Nothobranchius furzeri: one gene and its partners. The protein of the gene in region 3 interacts with the protein of the main gene of each other region in a pairwise test. Links are inferred from orthologs where the notes say so. Each region holds a gene or a part of one and is shown on either strand. Other genes may lie near its edges. The genes, in order: mafga; troponin T, slow skeletal muscle; nfe2l2a; mafk; waca.

What was found.
Region 1: the proteins of nfe2l2a (region 3) and mafga interact in binary tests that used the Homo sapiens proteins (3 or more experiments, as listed by UniProt). The link is inferred for Nothobranchius furzeri from reciprocal best matches to the Homo sapiens genes NFE2L2 and MAFG.
Region 2: the proteins of nfe2l2a (region 3) and troponin T, slow skeletal muscle interact in binary tests that used the Homo sapiens proteins (3 or more experiments, as listed by UniProt). The two-hybrid records come from large-scale screens. The link is inferred for Nothobranchius furzeri from reciprocal best matches to the Homo sapiens genes NFE2L2 and TNNT1.
Region 4: the proteins of nfe2l2a (region 3) and mafk interact in binary tests that used the Homo sapiens proteins (3 or more experiments, as listed by UniProt). The link is inferred for Nothobranchius furzeri from reciprocal best matches to the Homo sapiens genes NFE2L2 and MAFK.
Region 5: the proteins of nfe2l2a (region 3) and waca interact in a two-hybrid assay, tested with the Homo sapiens proteins (2 studies listed by BioGRID and IntAct). The two-hybrid records come from large-scale screens. The link is inferred for Nothobranchius furzeri from reciprocal best matches to the Homo sapiens genes NFE2L2 and WAC.

The regions. Positions count from the first base shown.
Region 1 is NC_091752.1:59,016,438-59,020,559, reverse strand, and holds the start of mafga (v-maf avian musculoaponeurotic fibrosarcoma oncogene homolog Ga), read right to left. Parts: upstream 2,810-4,122; 5' UTR 2,371-2,809; intron 1-2,370. UniProt on the Homo sapiens protein: Since they lack a putative transactivation domain, the small Mafs behave as transcriptional repressors when they dimerize among themselves.
Region 2 is NC_091756.1:33,965,737-33,969,417, forward strand, and holds troponin T, slow skeletal muscle, read right to left. Parts: upstream 2,294-3,681; 5' UTR 2,166-2,293; coding exon 2,034-2,165; intron 1,958-2,033; coding exon 1,841-1,957; intron 1,738-1,840; coding exon 1,660-1,737; intron 1,580-1,659; coding exon 1,462-1,579; intron 1,385-1,461; coding exon of another isoform or gene 1,381-1,384; coding exon 1,118-1,380; intron 1,041-1,117; coding exon 1,000-1,040; intron 714-999; coding exon 668-713; 3' UTR 513-667; downstream 1-512. Other genes in the region: dynein axonemal assembly factor 3, read left to right, coding at 179-317. UniProt on the Homo sapiens protein: Troponin T is the tropomyosin-binding subunit of troponin, the thin filament regulatory complex which confers calcium-sensitivity to striated muscle actomyosin ATPase activity.
Region 3 is NC_091754.1:21,645,185-21,649,385, reverse strand, and holds the start of nfe2l2a (nuclear factor erythroid 2-related factor 2a), read left to right. Parts: upstream 1-1,398; 5' UTR 1,399-1,541; coding exon 1,542-1,580; intron 1,581-3,614; exon of another isoform or gene 3,615-3,642; intron 3,643-3,743; coding exon 3,744-4,013; intron 4,014-4,201.
Region 4 is NC_091745.1:5,283,166-5,287,370, reverse strand, and holds the start of mafk (transcription factor MafK), read right to left. Parts: upstream 2,812-4,205; 5' UTR 2,665-2,811; coding exon 2,450-2,664; intron 1-2,449. UniProt on the Homo sapiens protein: Since they lack a putative transactivation domain, the small Mafs behave as transcriptional repressors when they dimerize among themselves.
Region 5 is NC_091747.1:30,792,133-30,796,352, reverse strand, and holds the start of waca (WW domain-containing adapter protein with coiled-coil), read left to right. Parts: upstream 1-1,411; 5' UTR 1,412-1,613; coding exon 1,614-1,654; intron 1,655-1,847; coding exon 1,848-1,878; intron 1,879-2,879; coding exon 2,880-3,072; intron 3,073-4,220.

The DNA of each region.
Region 1 (4,122 bases), on a different chromosome or scaffold from region 3:
CACAACGAGAAAAGGTGACCGGACCCTGAGGAAGATTGTGGAGAAGGACAGATTCCAGACCTTGGGAGACCTGCAGAAGCAGTGGACTGAGTCTGGAGTAGAAACATCCAGAGCCACCGTGTACAGGCATGTGCAGGAAATGGGCTACAGGTGCCACATTCCCCAGGTCAAGCCACTTTTGAACCAGAAACAGTGGCAAAGCGCCTGACCTGGGCTACAGAGAAGCAGCACTGAATTGTTGCTCAGTGGTCCAAAGTACTTTTTTCAGATGAAAGCAAATTTTGCATGTCATTCGGAAATCACGGTGCCAGAGTATGGAGGAAGACTGGGCAGAGGGAAATGCCAAAATGCCTGAAGTCCAGTGTCAAGTACCCACAGTCAGTGATGGTCTGGGGTGCCATGTCAGCTGCTGGTGTTGGTCCACTGTGCTTTATCAAGGGCAGGGTCAATGCAGCTAGCTATCAGAAGATTTTGGAGCACTTCATGCTTCCATCTGCTGAAAAGCTTTATGGAGATGAAGATTTCATTTTTCAGCACAACCTGGCACCTGCTCACAGTGCCAAAACCACTGGTGAATGGTTAACTGACCATGGTATTACTGTGCTCAATTGGTCTGCCAACTCTCCTGACCTGAACCCCATAGAGATTCTGTAGGATATTGTGAAGAAAGTTGAGAGACTCAAGACCCAACACTCTGGATGAGCTTAAGGCCACTATCGAAGCATCCTGGGCCTCCATAACACCTCAGCAGTGCCACAGGCTGATTGCCTCCATGCCACGCCGCATTGAAGTAGTCATTTCTGCAAAAGGATTCCCGACCAAGTATTGAGTGCATAACTGAACATATTATCTGAAAGTTGACTTTTTTTGTATTAAAACACTTTTCTTTTATTGGTCGGATGAAATTTTTTAGATGCTAATATGCTAATTTTTTAGATAGGAATTTTGGGTTTTCATGAGCTGTATGCCAAAATCATCAATATTAGAAACAATAAAAGGCTTGAACTACTTCAGTTTTGTGCAATGAATCTAATATATATGAAAGTCTAATATTTATCAGTACATTACTGAAAATAATGAACTTCATCACAATATGCTAATTTTTTGAGAAGGACCTGTAGAATCTCCCAATGAGACACTGAAGGTTCTGTCAGCCACGTGCGACACAAACCAATCCAGCGCGACCCTGCAAACACCCACAAAGTCTTCCATCCTAGAAATCAGGAGAGACTGATCAACAGTATCGAATGCAGCCGATAGGTCCAACAATATCAAAATAAAGTCCCCAGAATCAGTTGCCAATAAATGTAATTAAAAACCCAGAGCATTGCAGATTCTGTACTGTGGACTGGCTTAAAACCAGACTGGAATTTTTCTAAATGTAATTTCCCATCAAATACTGGACTAATTCCACATCTGCGTTCTTTTTGTGCATATAAAGGGCCATCATCTTTACTTGTTAGCTGCAGAGAAAGACAGAGATGGGCAGTACGCTTTATCACAAAGCCAAGCTTCTGATGCAAATATCATAATGTCACACACAGGAAGACAAAAGCAGCTGTCAAGTCGATGACAAACTGTTAAATTGTCATTGTCATATGAAAGGAAGCACACTGTTCAGCAAAAACTGAAGGCATGTGAACTGCTTGTCAGGTCATGTGCTTGTTTTATTCTTTACATTCAGGAATTAGCCTATACATGACAAAATGTGACCATCCAGTCATCGCGTGAGTCAAATCATGGCAATTTTACAATCGTTGTTCTCGCGCGCACGCACGCACGCACACACACGCACACACACGCACACACACACGCACAATCAGTCGTGTCTGTTTATCGTGACAGCGCTGCAACAAAACACACATTCTCAGCTAAATGTTGATCATCCAATAGACATATGGGCATGGCGGTCTTGACAAAAGAACTATTTCGATCCATCCTCCATATTAACGGAGGGTTGGAGATGAGCATCGACCCTTATCAGGCGAGCAGACCTTTGTCCGGTGGTGCCATATTTCGGGGTGGGTTCTCAGAATGTCTAAATCCGTCACTGTGATGATGCAGCATGATAAAAAAAAAAATAATAATACATATCGCTTTTTGGGGGCTTTGAAATTCAACATCTCTCTCGGGCTCACCGGCTGTGACATCCCCCCCCCCCCCCCAAAAAAAAATATGTTTGACTACCATTGTCAGGTTTTAACTAAATGAAAAGTCACTTAGGTTAAAAGCAATTCAACATGAACTGGTCGAAAAGCTATTTTCAGGACGATCAAATCAAAGCATTCACATAAACGAAACAATGTTCGATTTTAACAATCCATGCATGTTCGTCTTGGATCAGAAGAAAGAACATCAGCAACAACCAACCTGGTCTTGTTAAGCCGCTGGCTCGACTCGCGGTGATGAAGCAGCCTGTTCGACCAACAGCAAGATGCTCATGAGTTGACAAGCCACCGAAAAAAAAGAAGAAATAAAAATAAGGCTGACAAAACAGACGGCAGCACACCGACGTCTCGCAGAAGCCGCCTGCAGAGGTTTACATGCTTGTTGACATTCCACGACTCAACCTCTCGGTGCCTGATACTTGTCAAAGTGGAAAACTCCACGCCTGCAAAAAACACCAAGTGAGGACATCCCCATGCTCTACCTGCCTACTGTAAACCGCGGCAACAAGCAATTCCTCGAAATAGGAAATCACCTCCGGGACGCGGGATGGTGATACCCACATCAAAAAAACTGTTTCTCAACGTTTTACACGCAGCTGCAGCAGCTCGCCTATACTTGGCTGTAGCTTGTAGCATGGGGCGGAGTGGCCAGAGGCACGACAGCACCATACCATATAAGGAAGTCACTTCTGCGTCACGGGTCCCCGGAAGAATGAAAACATGAATGCAAGTCAATGGGGCTAAAAACGCTGTTTTCTAATTCTGCTTGTTTTGTGCCATGGATTTCACTTATGATGTCCGGGAATTTTAAAGAGCAAGTCATCCCCAAATAAACATTTTTTTTTGCTGCTAAACTAAATAAATGAGTGTCTAATCGTGCTGCAGACACGTTTCGTCAATAATTTGGCACTTCAGTGCATCTTAGTTAAAATTTAAATATTCTGCCTAAAACTGGCAGTGTTGTGCCGTTGTCAGGTAAAAACTCTGCACTGTATTCTAATTTAAATCTGCCACTGCTATTGGCTAAGAAGTATGCTATGACGTAAACTGGTACATTATGATGTCACATTGCTGTCGTGAGCCTGAGTGCGTGTGTATTTGTTAGCGGCTTCGCCCTCTCGGTCTGCCAGGCAACAGTATGTGTTGCATTTTTCAAACATGAAGTGGGAGTGGAGTTAGACTCTGGTAGGGGTTGACTTGCTCTTTAAAGACACATTTTGATACCAAGAGCGTGCGTATTTAGTGTTATTAGTGTTACACTTGGTTATGACGTTCGGTTATGTTAAGTTTTGAGTTAAACTTTACAGTCTGGTATACTGACCTGCAGATATAGCAGAGTATCCTCCTTGCAGATATCACCTGGCCAGTAATGTCTGCCTTTACAACATGATGTGACATAGCAGATGAGTGCCATGTTAAAGACTGTATACTACAGAAAATATTTCCAGAGACTTATCTTCCAAACCTACCTCCATACCAGCTGAGGAATCAGCCGCTCCAGAGTTTTTTGCTTTGTTGGGACGACATTTATTTTGTGGGGGAGAGTGTGGGGAACCAGTTAATGTTAAAGGCTAGAGAACATGACCCCCATTTGAATATTTTGTGTAATTATTTTGTTTGTGCAATTGTACTGTTTATGTGAGGCTAAGTTTGGTCACAGTCCAGCTCAAGTTGTGTTAGGGCAGCAGTAGCTCAACAGGTTGAGCGGGTTGTCCAGTAATCGGAAGGTTGCAGAGGATTCTGCTGTTGTGTCCTTGGGCAAGACACTTAACCCACCTTGCCTGCTGGTGGTGGTCGGAGGGACTGGTGGCGCCTGTGCTCGGCATCCTTGCCTCTGTCAGTGCGCCCCAGGGCAGCTGTGGCTACATCGTAGCTCATCACCATCAGTGTGTGAATGGATGAATGATACACTGTAGTGTAAAGTGCTTTGGAGTCCTTACTCTGAGAGGCGCTA
Region 2 (3,681 bases), on a different chromosome or scaffold from region 3:
TGTGTGTGTGTGTGTGTGTGTGTGTGTGTGTGTTTGTGTGTGTGTGTGTGTGTGTGTGTGTGTGTGTGTGTGTGTGTGCGCGCACGTGTGTGTGTGTGTGCGTGTGTGTGTGTGTGTGTGTGTGTGTGTGTGTGTGCGCGCACGTGTGTGTGTGTGTGTGTGTGCGTGTGTGTGTTAGGTACATTTTGGATCTAAGCAAAGAGCAAGAGGTGGGTTTTGCAGAGAAGGTGGCAGCCATGGCTCTGGAGGCGGGATTTGAACCGTGGAACCAGGGACGCAGTGATGACGTCCATGCGGTTTTCAAACTGAAGATGTAAAAATGTTTTCCACTACAAGTGTTTATTCTGATCCTGATGCAAGTAAATGTCAGATTTAGTGATTTTGCATCACATGACCCATTTCTGGAAGATTTGCACTAGCAGGAGGACAGACAGTGATAGGATAATAAATCTGGATCCTGCATATGTTCTGTTTCTTTTTTCAGTAGAAAAAAACATCTAATGAAACAGCAATAAATCTGATTGCATTTTAATAACACCAGTGTAAATGTTCTTTTATTTTTGCATGCACTTTAAAAGCTTCAGATCCAAATGTAACTCAGAAATCAAGCAAACAACAAAATAAAACAGCTGAATGTCACAAAACTGCTGCAGCTTGAGAAACATCGTCACTTCCAGCGTCCTCCCACCTTCCCTTTGCCGTGGACCTTTTTGCTGCAAGAGAAGATTCGGACCAGGTTACTAGCAGCGTTTCAGAGCACTGATCATTATTTCTCAGCAGGATTTCAAAGTGAGATATTCTACTGTTGCTTTCTGCTTCATATAGCTGTGTAAATATCTCATCCTGTCTGCTATGAAGCACGGTTTCTCGAGCTCGTTATAAGCTGCAGCCATTAATCTGTGCTATGTTTGCATAGTCAAAGGTTTACCAGGCTCTGCTTTGCAAGCTGGGCTTTAGGATTTGTGCTGTGGATTAGCATTAACAAGCGGATTGACTCACAATTTTTGCGCATGTTGGATTCTGTTGAGAAGAACGTTAATCTGTAAAAATAGTTCATGAAATTTGTGTCAGAGTTGTTGCAGTTTTTAGGACCTGAACTTTGCGCATTCTCAGCTACCTCATATTTCTGCTTCTTCATCTTCTCGGTCAGGTCAAACTTCTCAGACTCTAGTTGGTAGATCCACTCCCACATTTCTTTGGCTTTCTCTCTGGAAAACATCACGTTTAAATGACACTCCCTGAACACATCAACCTTTTGTGAGACCTTCACTGACCTCAGGCTGTCCTCCCTCAGGTTCTCAATCCCCAGGGGTTTTCTTCGTTCTCCCAGAGTTTTCTTCTTGATCTCCCTCGCCGTTTGCCTTTTGCCTCGTCTTTGTTCTTCCTGCAGAAAACAAAGTACTTCCACCATCAGATCAAGCTATGTCTATCATTTTAAATCCACCTGCTGATAAACTACACCTGCCTTTGCTAGAAATCCTCCAAAATGAGCCCCCATGTTGGAGAGAACCTTCTTCTTCTTGGCCTCATCTTCTGCCCTCTTCTTGGCTTCTTCTTCCTCTTTTCTCTGTCTCTCCTCCTGAAAAAAGCACGACTACACATTGAAAAACAAACAAAAGTTTAATATCAAATAATGCATGTAATCAAATAATCAGTTACTGCAATGCGTGTCTGTCTGTCCCGCTCTTTCTCAGCCCTCACACGCTGCTGCTCAGCTCTCTCTGCTCGCCTTCTCTCCTAAATGATTACAAAAGAGCAGAACCTTTATGTTGTTGATCAGAAGGGTTGCTGTAGGTTTTCAGAGGAGAAAATGAAGGCAAATGCTTGAAAAATTGATCACAATTCTCTCTTTGAGTCCGATCAGCTCCTCTTCCTCTTTCTTCCTCTGCTCAAAGTGGACATCGATCAGCGTCTGAAGCTCCAGGAGATCCTTCTCCATTCTTTTCCTGTGGATGTCCTGGCAGCACACAGGGAGATTTACTGATCTAGAACAACTTATTAATAGTTTTGGTTTTACTGTTGAAGGAACTCACATCAAAATCCACCCTCTCCCCCTCTGGGATTTTTGGTGGAGCGAGCTGAGTGACCATCGGCCTAAAGGACAAAAACAAAAACCTAACAGAATTAAAATCACAGGTTTTATTTTTTATCTCGTTTGACCACATATTTTACTGAAATCCTAGTATTATTAGTACATTTATTTTAAATATACACATCCATCCAATTTCATCCGCTTATCCGGGGTTGGGTCATGGGGGCAGCAGCCTAAGCAGAGAGGCCCAGACTTCCCTCACCCCATCCACTTGGGCCAGCTCCTCCGGGGGAACCCTAAGGCGTTCCCTGGCCAGCCGTGAGACATAGTCCCTCCAGCGTGTCCTGGGTCTTCCTTCAGGTCTCCTCCTGGTTGGACGTGCCTCAAAAACCTCACCAGGTAAACGATCAGGAGGCATCAACTAGATGCCCAAGCCACCTCAACTGGCTCCTCTGGCTCCATGTGGAGGAGCAGCGGGTCTACACCGAGCCCCTCCCAGATGGCCGAGTTTCTCACTCTATCTCTAAGGGAGAGCCCAGCCACCCTGCAGAGAAAACTCATTTCGACCCAACGCTCGTGACCATCGGTGAGGGTAGGAACGTAGATCGACCGGTAAGTCCAGAGCGGATAAACGGAGTAGGAAGTGACGCCACAATCAGCGTCAGCTCTGAGGATGTTTTGCAGTCAGCAAACGAAACGTACGTCAGCAAGGTAAAGAAAAACCTTTCCCGTGTTTTAAAAAGAACCAAAAATGGAAATCGAGAGCTTCGCCGTCCGGCTCAGCTCTTGCATCACTGCAGACGCAGCACCGACCCACCTATCGATCTCAAGCTCCATCTGTCTGGCAAATGAATCAATAACAATAACACAGAAATAACAGAAAAGCAATGAAAAACAATTATATAAGCAGCAAATAATTACATGAATTCAATCATATCCAAACAGAGATGGGAAGAAGTACAAATGTAACTAATTATATCCCTTCTCCCAAACTTTTGTCCACTCTCATTACTTTAATTTTATACTCATATTTGTACTCGAGTCAATGATTTAATTATATCATAAATACACCAAAATGTTCACACACACAAACACACTCATGCTCAGTAAACTTCACAAAACTGTTCTGAATATGTTCTTTTACATTTCTTTTAGAGCACATTGATGAACATTCCTTCAGCTCCATTTTTAATTTATTCCACAGCTTGGTGAATGACCTTACTGACCCTCACTGCTTTTTTTCTTCTTCTTTTTTGCAGAATGAAGAGGATAAATTATACTTTTGTTTCCCCAAATATCCGGACAGTAGCTCACACATGGAAATGTTATTCAACAGTAAAGTGTCTGAAGCGACATGCTGCAGTATGAAACAGCCACATTTCTGGACACTTTGGTTTGTAAAGGCTTTACGTGAGTTCCATCATCATTACCCCCAAGAGATGACTCTTAGGCAGAGGTGTGGACTCGAGTCACATAACTTGGACTCAAGTCACACGACTTAGATTCGAGTCATTATTTTAATGACTTCTGACTTGAAATCTATAAAGACTTACGACTTGACTCGGACTTGAACGCCAATGACTTGCGACTTGAATCGACTTGGATCTGTTGACTTGATGATGACTTCAGCATATTTGATATTTTAGCTC
Region 3 (4,201 bases):
TTGGTGAAAGTTATCGAAGCAGTTTATTTGGCAGAAAAAAGTTAAAGTAATTCTCATTGTTCAGTGTATATTTCCTCTGTTGTTTCAAATATGTTCAAATGAATAAGTACTGTGCAAAAGTCTTGAGTCATTCCTCATTTTCATCTTTCTTCCAAGAAATCAGACTTTCTTATACTTTTCAAAAAGCTCTTTGTCATTTATTCTGATGGTCTATCAAAGTTTTTCATTGAACTTTGGCAGTTTTTTTCTCTGTCAAGTGCAAACTTATGAAATATTTAGACATGAAAGTCTCAAGCTCAATAGAAAAACAACACTATTTTGTCTTTGACAAATTTGAAAGAAACTATTTTTTAGATTACCAAGTTAATTGCTATTAATAGGCATAAAAGCAACTTTCCCCACTTATTTAGATGAATAAAAACTAACCCAACAGTTTGACACGTAAAGTAGTAGCCTATTTAGCGACAAAACACACACATGGTTGAACTATGAAGTATCTCTCAGGTCTTGAGTTATTGTTTGAAGGCATCTCTTTGAGATTATTTTACGACACTTGAGTTTTCATATTTTGCAATTAAACAATAAAGGAAAGGAACAAAAAGCTGAAGGAGATCAGAAACACTACGTGATGATGTAACAGCACAATGACCAAAACTTGAAAACAAATAATCAAAATTCACCTTTTAATTATTTTGACCACTATATGTGACATAATTGTAAAAAGAACCTGTTGTTATGCAGTGAATCAGTTGCATACTTTTTACTGAAGACATGCAAATGTATGATGCAATGTGACATCTAGGAATTGTTAGAAAGTAGCCAAAATACCATACAAATACCTTTAAATGTGCTAGTACTATTCAAAAATAGTAAGTTACCACATATAAATAAGTGCTTTTTAAAACAGCCTTTATGTCTCCAAGAGGCATTTTCAATAAATGTACAATTTTTTTTAATAGAAATTTTCCTGTTGTCAGTAAATAACCTCAAGGAGACAGGAGAAGCCATGGCGTCCAGTCCCACACCCAAACCACCAGCAGGGCTCGCTGTTTACCAAACGAAACAAAAACATTGATAGGTAACAGCTGCAATGTTTGGAGAGGCCAATTTAAGCACAAAATATCTTTTTTAGATATAAAATTAAGCTCACGTGGATATTTGAGGATAATTTAAACACGTGTAAGTAAGTTGTGTAATAACTACTTGGGTACCAGTATGTTAAACAGTTATGAGTTTAGGCCATAGACTGGTTTAGGCAGGCTGGCATAGCGCGCATGCGCACAGCGGGTCTTATGCTCCTGTCTCATAGGCCGCCGTGAGTGGGACGATCCCGGAGCCGCAGCTTGGTGGGCGGGGCCATCGGTTCCGTGACGCTCTCGAGCTCCGGAGGAGGCAAATATTTCCCGAAAGTCAGCTGCGGCCGCCCTCACGGACAGTATTGGCCTTACGGACCGCTCGCCATTTTAACCTGCCATTTGTGGATTAATAATACATCCAGTTTTCACCTATAAGGCGTTTTATTTACGTCAGCACAGATCTCCATGATGATGGAAATGGAGGTGATGCATTCCAGTCAACAGGTAAACAATATTTGATTAATTAGCTTTCTTTGAACAAACCTTGTCAACGTCCTCTGTTATAACACTTTAGGTGGCCTTCTTATGTATTTTTAATTAAAATCAAATATCTAAGTTGGGGCAGATTGTACTATTTAATTTGGAATTATTGTGATAAAACATTTAAATAAAACCGGTAACTCATGTAAAACTTTCAGTTCTGCAAGTCATGTAACGTTTTTCTTCGCAGGGAAATCAAAATAGGAATAACATAAAATATCAGTGGCACGATTTAACCGGCGTTGGCTCTTTCCCCCTTGGCCATACAAAGTGTCATGCCTTTAAAAGTGGGTAAACCTGGAGAAAATTGTTTTCTCACAAGAATGCGCGTCCTTTCCCTCTTCCTCCTCACCCCCTTCCTCTCCCAGGCATGTGATCCCTTATCTGATACTGGCCATCTTCTAACCACCATTTTATTATATATTTAAAAAAAACATATAGTAGCTTCTATTTTTGTTGTTTTAAATCTGATTTTGTTACATAAAACACAAAAACTCTTTTCTCAATTGACTAGTTAATTATTTTACTGTGTTTAGGCAAGAATGTTGTCAAAGGGAGCTTGGGTGTTTAAAAATGACAGATCAGAGCCTAAAGCGGCTGTTTTGGAACATGTGTTGCTGTGTTTCACCACTCTCGGTCAAGGGTGAATGTCCAAAGAATAATGATCAAAGGAAAGATCGGCCCCTTTCACTTCCTTTAAATAAAGAACCATCTTAAATGATACACGTGTTCAGATCAGCCTTTAATGTTGTGAAATACTCATTATGGTGACCCGTTTCATTAGTCTTAACTTTACCTGAAAGGATGGTGGTCTGACTGGTGTGGCTGCATGTTGTCGAGGGGAAATCCAAGCTTCCTCGTTCACGTGACCACCTGAGTCTTGTGAAATCCTCATTGACCTTACAAAAGAAAAGCCACCACACTTTAGCATTTTCTGGTTACTCTAAAAGAGAATCTAACTAAAATAAAACTTCTGTGGTGCACAAAAGGAGAATTTTAAGTGCTGAACTTGAAGTTTCTATTTAAGGCCTGACTAACGCAGTTTCTTTTTTTAAGCTTTGAAAAACATCGACCACAGGTGTGTTTTCAGATGCCACCTACACTTTTTTTGAGGACTTCCTCATTCTGCCAAATGCTATAATTTCTGGTTGCATGTTCACCTTTCTGCCGGGGAGCGTGATTTATCGTAGGCAGGCTCAGTAACGTGTAATCCTTTGGCGGTCATGACTCTGATGCAACACTGAGGCAAGGGGTGTTAGTGGCTTTTTATTTTGAAAAGACAAATTCAGGAAAGATTGTGTCAACAGTGTCCAAAAATACATAGGAGCTCATCTGTTTGCTATGGTGGTTTGTCGCTATACGTTTTAATCAGATAGTTACACCCCGTTCGTTTTTGCATTGTTCTGCTTTTTGTGGGTTTTTTTGCCCAGAGTTCAGGATAAAGCCACCAATCAGAAGTAGTTTTTATTCACCGATCTGAGGAACAAACATGTCACGTGCTTCTAAGGTTTTTCTCAGACCGGTGTCTGGTTTCATGCAACATCCTGAGGTCTTGTGAAACAGATTTCTTCTGTAAATAAACTACAGAGAAAAACCCAAGAAGAATGTAAAACAACAACCAACTTTGGGGTTTTTTCATTTAAAGAGCACAAAGCATGATGGTGGTGAGTGGAAACTCAGAAGATTCTTATAGTTGTTTGGTTTCTGATCTGAATTTATGGTGTAAAATTATTTCTGTCTTCATAGTGTACAAGTTGCAAACGAACGTTTGGCTTTAAACTGGTTTAGAAAACTCAAAGGGTCGCATAAAATGATAGGGTCACTTGATTATTGAAGAGTTGGAGCGGGACAAAAGAACTCACACCTCAGTGTAATGAGATGGGTAAGGCTATCAGATCAAGACGCTGTCGGGTGTTTGGTGGCGACAATGAAAACAGAGAACAACATTTATAATTCATTCTCTTCTTCCACTTGGGCTTTGTACCACGTTGCTGACAGCGAGCAGAAACAGGACAGGGTGTGGCAGGTACGACGGCCTGATTTCACAGTTGTTGTTCCGGCACTCATCGCTGCAGGATGGCACGGCAGCTCGCAACTCTCTAAGGTGATCTGTGGCCGTCTTTCCAGGACATGGACCTGATTGACATCCTGTGGAAGCAGGACATCGATCTCGGAGCCAGGCGCGAGGTGTTCGACTACAACCACCGTCAGAAAGAGCACGAGCTGCAGAGGCAGCGCGAGCTGGAGGAGGAGAAGAAGCTGCACCTGCTGCGGGAGCAAGAGAAGGCCCTTCTGGCACAGCTACAGCTAGATGAGGAGACTGGGGAGTACATCCCTCGCCCACCACCGCCCAGCGCCCCTCTGCAGTCAGCTGGCACACCCTTGGAGGTTACTCAGGTACAAGCAACTGGCATCATTACTCCTGTTGGTGGCTGGCCACTCCTACATCATGTGATAGGCCCTGGTTGTGTTGTAGCTAGGTAACCACCTCATCTAGCAGACACACACACACAGGTGGGTCAGGTGGTTTGCATCGAAGTGGAATACATTTTAAAGCCGCCGTACAAAATCAAAAACACGCCACA
Region 4 (4,205 bases), on a different chromosome or scaffold from region 3:
TCGTTACCAGTTATCTAAAAGGGTTGATAGCTTTAGGAGGCAGACACTGTTTCAAGTAGAGCCACTGTTTTCCTCAGAAAAAAAAAAATTAAAATCACTCAAAAACTACATTTTGTATTCCTTGTTGTCTGATCCTGAAATTAAAGACAGAAAAGCAAGAGCAATCTCTGGAGGAAGACACAATTTTCCATAACCTTTAATTATGGTTCATATTTCTCTGTGTCCAACAACCAACGCATGGCACACCTGAGGGTCGGGTGTGACAGCTGAATGTTTAGACAGCATGGTGTGTTTGTTTGTCCTACGAATCACATTCAATTAGAGTCTCCAAGTTGTCATCAGCACCAAGGGAACTCCCCGTAACACAATCCTGTTAACAGGTGCGTGTGTGAACCTGGCACCTCCCCCACCTGCGGCTGTGATGCTGCAAAAGCAGATGTTGAGGTTCAGGTGGCTCGTCAACATAAGCAGGAAAAGACCTTTCTTTGATGCAAAATCTGTCCACATAATCAGCTCTTATTGCCTGTTTACACTCCACTCACTGCATTCCTGTGTTTAAAATCCCAGGTTTCTAGCTATGGCATGGAAATTGCTCCATAGGCCCACAGTGAAGGATTGGATGAAACAGATGTTATAGGCAATGCCGCTGGAACAGATTACCTATATCTTAAAGGCCAAGCAACATTTATTTGACGAAATATGGACACCTTTTCTAACATATATTAAGAGGATGGACATAAAAATCTGAGGACTTATAAAGTGGGAGAGTAGGAAAATAATCGGTCTTCTGACCAGCATTAAGACTGGAATGGGAGAAGCAAAAGCAAGGTGTAATTCGGGGACTTCTTACTCAAAGTTTTGTTAAACATGTCTATGTGAATATTGCCTTCAATACTATATATGCTCTTACATTGGAGAGGATCGCCAGAAGCACAACCAAAATTGTTAAATTGTTCTATTGTTCTGTTGTTCCATGAAGATTTTATACAGAATGTACTTTCAGTATACAACATAATACTGTGTGAAAGGTGTACAGTAAACTGAAAACTCAATAAAATATACTTTTTGAAAAAAAGTCCCAGGTTTCCAAAGTAAATAATCAACAGTCAACTTTTTTCCCTCCAGAATGAACAAAACACATCACAGGGAACATGTTCCTGTGACTCATCGAATCAGCAACCACAGCTATTTCACTTTCACAACATCTCACCACTAAACGTTTTGCTCCCCACACCGCTTTCATCCGTCACTAGAGTCCAGAAAAGTGACATCCTGTGTAACAATGTGTGTGTGTGTGTGTGTTTTCATGTGGAGAAGGGGATTTCTCCCCGTGCACTTCTGTGTTCTAATGAGTCAGCTGCTGTCCCTTCTCCATCCAAAGACATCACAACCTTAGTGACTGGACCACATGTTCATCTTATGACAGAGGAGTAGCTACACCCGCTCCTCTGAAGGGCGCTGTGCCTGTGTGCACCCACCAGACACCAGAGTCAAACAGCAGACAACCCAGCTCCAATCTGTGGCACCTCTCAGTGGAAGAGAGCTTCCATTTATTAATAAAATACTAACTACAAGTTTTATGCAAAAGCATAAAGCAAGAGCAGCGAGAATCATGTACTATTAGGTCTTTGCACTTTCAGATCACTGCTTCCTAATCTTAACCCAAGTCACTAAGATTTATAGCTCAGCAGAGCGATGGGATGAAGCCCTTTCTTCCACCGCAGAGATTTAGAGTTTGTGGAAAGATGTGGTCCTTGTGTTGTGTAGCTGGTTTGTGTTACCAGTCATCCCTGGTGGTCTACCCTTTGTCCCACATGTATAAAATGCAGACCACGTGTTGAATCATGTCAGAAGCAGAGCTGCGATTTTGCATGATAACGAATGCGTGCTTTTAAATTAATTATTTTAACATACAAAGCAGAACTTATACTTGCTGTTTACACTTCCATTTTATTTCAACAGCTCATCAAAGGTGTAAATCTAATAGCCTATTAAATAAATAAACAAATAAATCTTCTCTAATGCATCACGAATATGTTGTAGTTAAACTGGTTATTAGTGGTTTTCAGTGGAATCGCTGTTTTTATTTATTTCCTCGTTATAAGGATTAAACTACAAACAGAAAATTCCACAGTTCTGATGTTAAATCAGCACAAATGCATTTAAACTCGCGACAACTCGGCGCGCGCCGTCTTTTCGTACATTGTGTTTTGTTTCTCCAACAACACGTGTCCTCGCGACCAACGCACACAAACCCAAAGTCAACTTTCAGAAACTATATTTTAAAAGATAAAGAAAAGACAAATATTTTTGTTATTAAACGTGTGCGGCAAGCGCGAGCCACGCAGCCCGTCTGTGCCGCTGTGGCATCGCGAGCACTTGAACAATTTAGAGAGGAATGTCAAAACATCTTCCATAAAAAAGAGCAAAAGTGGGAAAACAAGCTCACCTCTGTGAACGCGGATGTTTGTAGACGGAGGGAGTAAAACCGGCGGGGCTCGCTTTCAGGCGGTGATGAATCCGGACAGCGTCGGTACCGGACGGCGCAGCGGTCGATCCTCGTACTAAATAAACTACAAAACAACAACAATGTACCAACATTCCACGCTCTGCTTCCGCAAGCGCCCGCGTCATCAGTTCCTCGTGACCGCCCCCTCCATTCATGAAAATAACTTTGTGCTGACGTCAGTCTGAGAGGGGGGGAGGCCAGAAATAGAAGTTAGACACTGATGCTGACCGCTTTTGCTTACTTTACAAAAGTAGTTAGTGAGCTGCCAGCAAACAGGAAGATCTAGATCCCCCAGGGTTACTTGTTGCTCCTCCGATGCCCACCTGCTGTGCGCGGACAGGTCTGCCTACAAAGTACTCAAAAATGTGCACTAACAGAGGGAAAACAGACTCTCCCCCTCCTCCTCCTCCCGTCTGACTTTGGGAGCAGCTGCAGCATTCCATTCCTGAGGAAAGTATGCAGAGTAGTAGTCCAGCAGTCACAGGATTTCTCTTATTTTAACTGCAGCCGGTAACGTCACAGGTTATTCTGGGTAATTAAACAATGAATTTATAAGCACGCTGAGCCATATAAGGCCGCAGCTTTTACTGAGGTACCTGCTCAGCAGAAGTTTGGAAGTGAGCTTCTGTGGGGAAAATAATAGAATAGAATAGAATAGAATAGAATAGAATTTATTGAGAGGGAGTATTCTCTTGCTACAGCAGCACATGCACTTAAAGAAAGGAAGAAAATAATAACAGAATTACAGGTAAAGTACCAAAAACAATATGGACAATAGAATAGAATAGAATAGAATAGAATAGAATAGAATTTATTTATCCACAGAGGGAGTATTCTCTTGCTACAGCAGCACATACACTTAAAGAAAGGAAGAAAATAACGGAATTACAGGTAAAGTACCAAAAAACAATATGGACAATAGAATAGAATAGAATAGAATAGAATTTATTGATCCACAGAGGGAGTATTCTCTTGCTACAGCAGCACATGCACTTAAAGAAAGGAAGAAAATAATAACAGAATTACAGGTAAAGTACCAAAAACAATATGGACAATAGAATAGAATAGAATAGAATAGAATAGAATTTATTTATCCACAGAGGGAGTATTCTCTTGCTACAGCAGCACATACACTTAAAGAAAGGAAGAAAATAATAACAGAATTACAGGTAAAGTACCAAAAACAATATGGACAATAGAATAGAATAGAATAGAATAGAATAGAATTTATTGATCCACAGAGGGAGTATTCTCTTGCTACAGCAGCACATGCACTTAAAGAAAGGAAGAAAATAATAACAGAATTACAGGTAAAGTACCAAAAACAATATGGACAATAGAATAATAGAATAGAATAGAATTTATTGATCCACATAGGGAGTATTCTCTTGCTACAGCATCACATACACTTAAAGAAAGGAAGAAAATAATAACAGAATTACAGGTAAAGTACCAAAAAACAATATGGACAATAGAATAGAATAGAATAGAATTTTTTGATCCACAGAGGGAGTATTCTCTTGCTACAGCAGCACATACACTTAAAGAAAGGAAGAAAATAACAGAATTACAGGTAAAGTACCAAAAAACAATATGGACAATAGAATAGAATAGAATAGAATAGAATAGAATAGAATAGAATAGAATACTCCTTTGTTGTCCCAGAGTGGAGAAATTCAGGTATAGCAGCAGTTCA
Region 5 (4,220 bases), on a different chromosome or scaffold from region 3:
GCTGTTTCTAGAACTGCACTTTTCTGGACTGAGACGTCTGATGTTTTTCCTGGGATCTCCTTTAGCCAGTCTTCCAGTTTGGGGGTTACTGCCCCCAGTGCCCCGATGACCATGGGCATTACTGTCTACACCGTTGCCGCTCAATCTGCCTCACTTCTCAACTAATCCCGTGATACAAGCTAGTTTTAAGATTTGATCACAAATCATTTTAAATATACTTCCCCATCAGTACACATGCCCATCACTCTAAATAATTTATTTCCTCCTGGTCTCACTGATGTTATATATCCCCATCAAGGAAATTACCACCTGAAGTGTTGCGCCAATGCCCTATTCAGTGGCACTACTGGTTACTGATGCGGGTGGTGGTCTTTACGTGTGTTTAAAAGAATTGCAGCTTGTGTTTATTTCCGATGATGTTTATTAGTTCGTCTTCTTCCAAAATGTCCATGATCCATTTACTCGCAATTAAAGTGGTTTACAATGAATGCGTTACTTGCCCCAATGGCTGTCCGCAGAGTCCATTACACACAGCCATTGTCCTCACTACACAGTAAAAAAAACTGTTTGTCCCATTTCAGCAACATCTGAGTCTGATCTGAATTGGTTTAAGTAGGCTGGTGCTTCCACAATCAAATCAACCAATCAGCTGAGGCCAAGCCTCCTCTCAGGTATGCAGACATAAAACACATTTGACTCCTACACCACCTTTGAGGACCTCTATAGGAATGGTTCTTTTTGGAGTTTTTCAGAACCCTCTTCCAAAGCAAAACTTTTGCTCTCTCACCTGTTCCGTTATTTTCAGGAACAGGTGCATTTACTTTTGCTGAGGAAGGTGTTTCCTAACCAAAACACATTTTATGTTTTTTTTTTTTTACAAAATCAAACATAGTTATAGTGATAGTTAAAATATAACTATAAATAAATGTAATACATAAAAATGTAAAACCCCAACAGGCTGCACCAAAAACGGCCATAGTTGCCCACCCTACGTTGATTACAGCTATGCTCTGGAGAGTGAGGAACCCACCCAACATGGCAGCCACGCTTTTACGCTCTCCAGCTTCCAATGAGGCGTCTACGTAATGACGTCGCAATAAGGTTGCCAAGTTTGTATTTAATACATGTTTTCCGTAAACAAGCCCCCTTTAAATAACAAGTTATATAAAACTGTATTAATAAGTAATTAATATCCTTTTCCATGGGGCAATAAAATATTTTTGTCTTATATAATTCACGCTCTGGCTTAAAAATGTTTTTTGTTAAATCTGATTTAATTTAGTAGTGTTTAGTAGCATTTGATCTATTTTTACATCTATAAAAATGTCAAAAAGATTCTACACTTAACTAGTACATGTATGAATACAGAATCCTTGCTCAAGTATCTGGCAACCCAGCAAGAGCTACTGCTGCGTTTTGATCGCTAGCTAGTCGGCTGCGTGAGAGTGGGAGATGGACTGAGTGAGGGTGCTCTCTAGACCTGTTCCCGATAGCATTGCTATACCCACAAGCTAGGCTGAAATAACAGACGATTTTTATTGCTACATCAACAACAAAAACAGTGTCATTATCAGTCTTTCACATCCCACTCTAAACACACTAACACGGCATTGATGGTAATGTATGCAAGGAAACAACCGAGACTCGGCGATGGGTAAACATCATTTTAACGTTACTTATTTTCTTTTTCCTCGTAGCTACTGCGCTTTCACAATCCGCCATTTTTACTGAAAGCCAAATTAAGTGACTAGAAACTTGAGCGTTCAGCTGTTGCTCCACTGGAAAACACATTTTCAGTGCCGATATTTGATGTAACACATTCACAACTGTTTACTTTCTGTCTGCAGGTGCGACCGAAGAGATTCTCAGCCCTATCAGGTACTTGTTTGGACACCCAAGGCTGTTAGCATGCTAGCAGCAAAAAAGATTAAAATGGACACTCTAGCTCAGGCTTCTGTGGTGTGCAGGCCTCGGTGCGGAAAATAACACGAAAAGTAGGAGTCTCGCTTAAAATCACAATTTAAACACAGAAAACACACGCAACGCGTCTATTTTGGGGCCCACGTAACGTACGCGTACACAGGGCCGTCGAATAACGCTGCTTTGACACGACAGAAAGACTTTTACTGCGGATCAAAGCTAATGTTAGCTGATAGCCTGATTGCTCGCTATTCCGATTAGGGCGCCGCCGAAAATCAGTCATTTTAAGGATGTAAGCAGCAAAATGCGACTAGTTTATGGCCTGAGGCTGTACACGTAGAATAAACATGACACTGAAGCGAAGACTAATCAGGACGTGTCTCCTGAAGTGTTGCCTGGCCTTTTAAAAGCCTGGTTGTACGTAACTATGTTGGTTTATGAGCGCCTCTCTATGCCAGGTTAGTGAGACTACCTCTAACTCTCATTAATCAAGGTGAGCTCAATAAAATTGCGTTCTGTTGGATCTTTATCAACTTTACTGAAGCTGGCGTCATAAAGGAGATATTAGGGTTGATGTTCACTCAAGAGGCAGGTGTCTTAATGGTAATGAAACAGTCTGATGTTCTTAATGACTGGAGGTTCTGCTCTTGACGCGTGATTTTAGCAGGTAAATGTCCTCATTTACAAACGAGGTGTTTCAGAGGGAGCGCACAGAGAAAAATCAAATGGAAGGAATCTGGTTTCTCATAGTGGAATGAAGCAATGTTTAGTCCTTGTGCTCTTCCTCATTTCCCCCCTCTGCCATGAAATTGTGTATTTGTAATAACACAAGCTAAACGTGACTCAGTTTAAATCCTTTGGTCGTGTACATTTGTAATAACACGCATTATGGAAGTTCCTCTGATGTAAACCAGCTGCGATTACTACAGTTCCCTGACATGTTTGTTTTGTGTTTACAGACTCTTAAGTACTCATCCAAGAGCCATCCAGGAGGGGACCATCGACACGAAAAGACGCAAGACTCCTCTGATGTCACTCCTCCCTGCAAAATGCTCAGGAGGTCTGACAGCCCTGAGAACAAACACGTGGAGAGCACAGGACACAGCAGAGCCAAGGCTGTCCACACACACCGGGTCAGAGACCGGGACGGAGGTAAGGTCCTGGTTAATGCAGATAACTAGATGAGTATCACCAGTACGCCACATAACTAAATGTTCACTAAGTTTACCACATGCTGCCTGGTCAGTCAAGTGTAAAGAGCAAATCATGTTAAATATACACGGCTTTCACCGCGGCTTGAAAGCCTGGAAAGTGTTTGAATTTTTAAAATGATGAATTTTCAAGATTGTGAAACTGGTTGTAGAGAAGCAATCTTTCTTTTCTCAAGACGAGGAGGATTTTTTAAGGGCATGATGGTTTGGCTGTGTTTACTTTAGCAGCATGCTATCCAGGTGTAGTTAGCTTGTCATCTAAAGATGTGTGTGCTGTAGCGTGAGCCACAGTTAGGTCCAGCATCTGGGTGTGTGTGTGTGTGTCTATGTTTACTATAGCTCCATTCTCTTGCATCATTTTTGACCCATGAGCTGACTGGAAGCAGAGGAGACTTGTGTAATGATAAATGCCTGTGTTGGTGGAACCAGTGGATGCTAAGGCTGGGCAATATGGACCAAAACTTATATCTCAATATATTTTTGCTGAATTCCCATATAAATATATCTCAGTAGTTTTCCTCCTGTAAAGTATTTACAAGTTAACTCACTTCAAGCTGTCTTGAGAAATTATAAACATACATCAGTATATTAAATGCATAAAAATGTGTTGATTCTTGTCAAACTTTAACCGTAGTGCCTATTCTCTGGTGCAGCGGTCTGTTAACACACACACACGCGCGTGCACACACACAGTTGAGAGCTAGAGGTGTATCAAATGTCCCAGAGGCACTTTTTAATTATATATTTATAATTGATATAAAATAATTTCAATTTCTTCTAGAGGTGGGCCATATTGTATACTTCTTGCCCAGAGAAAAAACATCTATCATGTTAAACTAAATTTATGATGATGTAATTGCATCTACTGAAGATCACATGGGTCATGCACCATGGAGTTAATAGTTATCAGGGCAAACATGGCTGCAGTCTAACAGTATTGGCTCATATCAGCGATTATACTGCAATGACTCAGAGACTCTGGTTGCTGTTTTATGAGTATTATTTTCAGGCTTCTGTCACCGTAACCCACGCCTTCCTAACTCTTCACTTGTTCAACAGAATCGCTCGTAACAGAGTACTTACTAGCAT